2 linked regions of the Canis lupus familiaris genome follow. Each later gene encodes a partner of the first gene's protein in a complex. Links are inferred from orthologs where the notes say so. Each region holds a gene or a part of one and is shown on either strand. Other genes may lie near its edges.

The links.
Region 2: CDHR2 (region 1) and ANKS4B share a complex: the UniProt entries of both Homo sapiens proteins name them as parts of the IMAC/intermicrovillar adhesion complex. The link is inferred for Canis lupus familiaris from reciprocal best matches to the Homo sapiens genes CDHR2 and ANKS4B.

Annotation. Positions count from the first base shown.
Region 1 is NC_049225.1:37,628,342-37,631,145, forward strand, and holds the end of CDHR2 (cadherin-related family member 2), read right to left. Parts: intron 780-2,804; coding exon 642-779; 3' UTR 501-641; downstream 1-500. UniProt on the Homo sapiens protein: Intermicrovillar adhesion molecule that forms, via its extracellular domain, calcium-dependent heterophilic complexes with CDHR5 on adjacent microvilli. Thereby, controls the packing of microvilli at the apical membrane of epithelial cells.
Region 2 is NC_049227.1:24,443,724-24,447,223, forward strand, and holds part of ANKS4B (ankyrin repeat and SAM domain-containing protein 4B), read right to left. Parts: intron 867-3,500; coding exon 1-866. UniProt on the Homo sapiens protein: As part of the intermicrovillar adhesion complex/IMAC plays a role in epithelial brush border differentiation, controlling microvilli organization and length. Plays a role in assembly of the complex.

The sequences.
Region 1 (2,804 bases):
TGTCCATGCAGTGGGCTGGCCCCCATGGCCCCAGACTGTCTTGCATGCTGGTAGACGTCCCCAGTTCCTGTCTCCCCTTCCTCTGGCCCAGCCCCCAGCCCTATCCATCCTCACTGGACACCTACTCACAAATCCTGACAGGGGAAGGCAGCTGCAGGAATGCCCTGGGGGCGCAGTTGAAAGGAGAGTCTCAGACAGGTCTGGGAATCACAGTCAGAAAGAAGCTCATGGAAGGTCTTGGGTCCCAGGCAGCCTGACAGCTGGTCTTGGGTATTAGGGGCAGGACAGAGAGCTCACTCTACAACCACAGTTGTCCTTTAAAGACTGCCATCTCCCACCCCTTGTCCCTGTGTGCTGTGAGCCCCCACGAGTTCCCCGCTGACCACTCAATACCCCTGTCCCCAGCCCTCCAGCCACAGTTTTTGGCTATAAACTGTCACAATATACATTGGTAATAAAATTCCCCCCCAACTCTTGTCAGCTGTGATTGACTACAAGCAGAAGGGGACCGAGCTGCATAATTTATCCTTGTGTTCAGAAAAGGGTCGGTGTAGTTTGGGGTGACAAGACATCCTCCAAGGTGGACCAGAAGAGTGGGGGCCCATGTGGCGCTCTGCAGCAAAGGTCCTGTGGCAGGGACATCAGAGGTCTGTGGTGTCCAGGCCAGCATTGGTGAAGGACAGCTTCTCCTGCTGTCCACCTGTGCCCGTCTTCCTTCCTGACAGCACCACACTCAGAGGTTCCCCATCTTGCTCTGTCGGACTGTGTGTGGGCTCCTTCTGTGGGGAAGACGGAAGATGTGAAGATGTGCAGGGCGGGGATGGGGTGATTTCCCCAGTCCATAGGGGCATGGGGGTGGGCCTTCAAGCCCATGGCATATGGTTCCTTAACTGGGGTCCCACCTGCTCTTCCTGGGGCCTCAGTTTCCTAGCTGTGTCCCAGAGGTGGCCATGGCCACTAATAGTGCAGATGGGCTCAGCTGAGGGGGTGGGCTTGAGGGGGGGTCCACTCTGGCCTTTGCCTTGATCCACGGACACAGCAGGACTTTGGTGCTCTTCCCAGTCCTGAATAATACCAGACTGTCCTGTGCCATGGAGTCAGTCCAATCCAATTCCTGCCGCCTGCACCTGAGGCAGGCACTGTGCTGGGTGCAGTCTATCCGTTACCTAAAGTACCCACAGGAACCCGCTGAGGGAGGGATCATATACCCCACATTACAGATGTGGAAACTGAGGCTCAGAGGGCTCTCATGGCTAGGAAGAGGCAGAGCAAGTTTTGGATCACTGGTCCTGTTGGCTCTAAAGACTGTTGATTGCTGCCCTGGTTGAATTTGGCATCTCCCTCTGCCACCCTCAGAGGGACGCATCACTCCCAGGGCCCCACTTGCAGTTTATCATGGCACACACTCATCTTCCTGCCTTTCCTCTTCCCTTCCCCATGCAACTGGCCACATGCTCACACCTCCTCACAAGTACACCCTCCTGGGCAGCCCCAGTGGCACAGCGGTTTAGTGCCGCCTGCAGCCCGGGGTGTGATCCTGGAGACCCGGGATCGAGTCCCATGTCGGGCTCCCTGCATGGAGCCTGCTTCTCCCTCTGCCTGTCTCTGCCTCTCTCTCTCTCTCTCTCTGAATAAATAAATACAAAATCTTAAAAAAAAAAAAAAAAAAAAAGTACACCCTCCTGTGGACCATCCCCCAGGCTCAGCTACACCAACACAGAAACACCTAGGGGACAGAGCCCCAGCCGCCATCCTCTCCAGGGCATTCCACGGGCTTTTTCCAGACTAGGGCTCTTCTGGTCCCTGGTAAACTGGAACATCTGAGGGGCCCCAGGAAGGACGAATCAGGGCTCCCCAGGGTCCGCACCATAGGCTCCCCAGTGGTAGCTGTTGGTGCAGCATAGCCTAGGAAAATTCAACCTGCCCTTGGAGACAGGAGACCTGAGTTCTGATCTGCCCTTGCCTTGTAAGCTTTCTGACCTCAGGCAGGTCAGAACCCAGAGCCTTCTGGCCTTTGTTGCTTGTGAAGATTGGATTAGATCACCGGTCAGTTGTCTCAGACCTTCCACACATTTATGGAGGTCTTGGGTGAGTCAGGGCACCAAGAGATCCTTGAAAAAAGGCCCCACCTGTGTTCCTCACCCAGAGACCCCAAGGCCCACCTACTGTTAGAGGAGAGGCAGCAGAGCCTTGGGCAGGTTCTCTGAAATATAGCAACCCCTCTATCATCCTAGGACAGGCTCTTTTCTGGTTTTTGAAGGCTCTCAGTGGCCCAGCCTCTCTTCCTCTCCAGACTCTTCTCCCAGGCTCTCTACCCCTCCCAACTTACAAGTCCAGCCCCACCTGAGGCCCCCAACTCCACTCCCCAAGAGTCAGCCTTGGCCTCCACTGGGGGCTACCTGCCTGGCCACAAGTTCTAACTCTTCTTCCTCAGTTCCCCCAGACATTCATTGGAGTTTTTCCCCAAAGCATCTTCAACCAGAGATAAGCCATCCACTCAAAGGCCTTCAGCACTGCTTGGTGTCCTGGATTGCCATCCATGACCCTAACCTTTGGGGGCCCATTTGGAGGCCTCAATGTCACTGCCAGATCCCTGTGCACCATTCCCACATACCCCCCACCCCCTGCTGATCTACTCCCTGGTTCTCTATCCTCGCATTAGAACCCCAAGAGTTTTAACAACATGCTCGAGCCCAGGCCCATCCTACCCATTGGGTCAGAATTTCTAGGCTGGGATGCTTCATGGGCATGTGAGGCTGTGGCTGTGTGAACTGTTGATTTACTCAAACCATCTAACCTACTGA
Region 2 (3,500 bases), on another chromosome or scaffold:
CAACCACATCTTCCTCCCACCCCACTTCATCCTCATCCCAAGGCAGATCATCGTCATGATTGTTTTCCTCTCCCTCTTTATCTGCCTCAGCTTCATCAACCTCAGCTGCTCCTTGTCCCTGAAGCAATTCACTGCACATTTTAAACTCCAACCCCCTTTTGATGTCTGACATGTCTTCGGGACTTGATATTTTGTTCTTTCTAAAAACAATATTTCCTAGACCTGGACGGTTGAGAATGGATTCATGTTGCACACATCCATCATCCTCTGCTGAGAACTGGGGCTTCTCTTGGAAGTCCCCTGAGAATGCATCTTCTTCCTCTTCTCTGAACACTTCCATCACATTCCTCTGCCCACTTCTGCTCTCTTTCCCTACCTGCTCTGCTGTATCTTTGTTCTTCTTGAGCTTTAACTTGAAGGTATCTTTAATGCCCTTAGACAGTGACCCAAATGTACCAGAAGCAGAAGCATTTGCAAGGGATGACCTGGAGAATGTGCCATTGGAAGAAGAAAGAGTCCCAGATTCTTCCTTGCTATAGTTGCGAGCCATTTTATTTTGGTGCTTCTCCTGGAGCCTCTCACATTCTTTGATCTGCCTCCTAGCATTTTTCTGAGCCTGCTCCTTCAGCCTGGTAACTTTCTTGGGGTTCATGATATTCTGGGTAGTGGCAGCCTTATCCAGGAGAGCAACACATTCATTTTGTTCTCTGCTGGCAGCCGCATCCAGCGGAGACTGTAAGCTGTTGTCCAGGGCAAAAATGTTGGCACCAAAGTTAACCAGGAATGAAACACAGTGGGTATGACCATTGGAAGCTGCATAATGTAGAGGAGTATTTCCCCAGATGTCACATCTATTGGGATCCCCTCTAGAAGAGAAAATACCAAAAATATATATAAAAACATTTTTTTCTTAGAACATGGGGTCCAAAACAAAACAAAACTGAACAAAATACATTTTAATTAATCCTGCCTTAGCATTCTAAAACTTCTGAAAGTCCAGATATGTCACATCTATCTAGACATCACATGATCAGAAACAAAAGCTCATCCCCTTTTGTCTCCTTTTTAGAAGAAAAGCTTTCCAAGAACACCCTCAAAAAGCAACTTTCATGTCTCATTGTCCGCAATCGATCATGCCTATAAGAAGAGAAATAGAGCTATCATTTTAAATTTAAGTTGATTACTCTGCAGCTAGGAATAAGATTACGTAGTGGTATGCTGGTAAATGCTTAACAACTGGTGAAAAGATCGAAGTTCTGATTTATAGCATGTGCCAATATTTGTGTTATAAATACACCCACCATGACAAAATTCAAGGTACTAATGTGATAAGACAGGACATGGAATTTGGAAGAGATGTCCAAAAGCATACCTTTATAAATTATTTCCACCATATATGTAGATATAATAGATATGCAAAACTTTAAGAGTATAGATAACAGTAAAATGTACTCAAATAATTAGGAAGTGATAATTTTTGAGTATTTAAAAATATAATTTGTTAAGTCATAAGTTTAAATACCTTTATTTTTAATAATGACTGTTTAATGGACTCTCAGACTTCCTGAAAATTTAGCAATCACATCTCATAAACTGGTAAGAGCTGTTTCCTACTCTAACACTGGAGTCACATGTAGGAAAATAAATAATAATAAACAAAACTAGGTTACCACCAGCAAAAAAAAAGAGAGGGGAATGGATGTTAGGTAGGTAGCAAACTGTGTCTGATATAACCATTATTCATATAAAGAGTAGAACATCTCCATTGATTCTCCAACTCACTTCCATGCAATTACAATGTCATATATGTGAATAGTTCTGCAATAGTTTATGGTGGAATTGAGGGCATTGTTAGATGGTTTTAAGACTGGAGACCCCATGGCAGCATAGAAACTGGCTCATGGTTGATGCTTAGTAAGCATTCCTGAGATGAATGAATGCCTAATGAAGTCTTGCCCCAGACTACAACCCCAGCCCTCCTGTAAGATGTTGAGTTACAAATAGGCACAAACAGAAAGTAAAGAAGTAACTTATTGTTAATATGACTCTGGCCCCAAGCCCAAACCACTGCTGAGAACTCTGCTAATACAGGTGCTAAAGGGCATCTTCCCTCACCCTAGACTAGACTCCCAAATCAGGATCTCACTAAACTTCCCCCAGGCTGGCCCATGGAAGGACAGGAGAGAGGGTCTGAGAAAGCCTTTTGACATTCTTGGGGAGATGATTCGTGCCCTTGCAACTACTACATCAAGGCTCTGTGACCCTTCCACTATTCTGTGCTACTCAAAGTTTGGTCTCTGGATTAGTAGTAGCAGTGGCAGCTGCTAGTTTGCTAGAAATGTGAAGTCTTGGACTCCAGCCCAGATGTCCTGAATCAGAATCTGAAGTTTAACAAGATCCCAAGGTGGTATATAGGCTCATTGCAGATTGAGAAGAGCTGCACTGGTTAATGTGGCCCAACCAGTGTCCAATAATTTGATGAGTCAGATTTGTAATTCTTCTCTAGGAACCCCTAATCTCCTCTCATTTTTTCAATTGTGAAGTATCTATACATTCAGTACCATCACCACCAACAACCATCATCATCTCCTTCTTAGAGAAAGACCAGGATAATTATCAGAGGGGTAAAATAAGGCTCCAAGTACTTAACTGATTTGTCCACTGTTGCACAGGGAGCACACTTTGGATCAGGCCTGCCTCCAAGTCTAATAGTCTCCAATACAATACAGCCTTACCTTAACACACCTCAGTTTTTCTACTTCACCAGCTATGAGGCCTCAAGTTTAACTTTCATAGGACTCAGTGTCCTCATCTGTATGAGTATGAGAATAGTTTTTATGGAATTGTTATGTGAATAAGTTGACATAAAGCACTAGAAAAGTGCTTGATACATAGTAAATCTTCAATAAACATTGTTATCATTTCCCTTGTCTCTAAACTCATAATCCTTAATTTCATATCTTTGTTTTTTTCTCACACCCATCTAATAAATTCCCATAGTGCTATAATAGCTCCTGCAACTTTTTAACACTTAAAATCTTACTTAATCTGTTCAACCTTTATGCACCAACCTCCCTGATTAGATAACATGACTCAAAGGGCCAAGCCTATGTCTTTTTGTCCTTTGTATCATATCTCCTAGCAGAAGTCTCAGTCTTAACCTAAAGAAACCAAGCAGGTAAGTAAGTAACTAAATGGAGCCAAAGTCATAGTTGAGTACAAGTTCCAACAGAAAAGAAGAGCTGTCACTCTGTAGCAACTGACTGCCACCTCAAATAAAAGCAGACACAATATAGTGAGAGCTTCCATTTTCCAAACAGAGCCAGAAATCCACAGTCTCATGTGGGATTTTTTGATTTTTAGATGTTGGCTTGAATTTAAAAGAAAAATACAGTGAAGTCCAAATAAAACATATTTGTGGACTAGATCCAGCCCATAAGCTGGTAGTTGGCAACTTCATTCTGAGCAGAGAACAGCATGAACAGATGCACATATGGGTG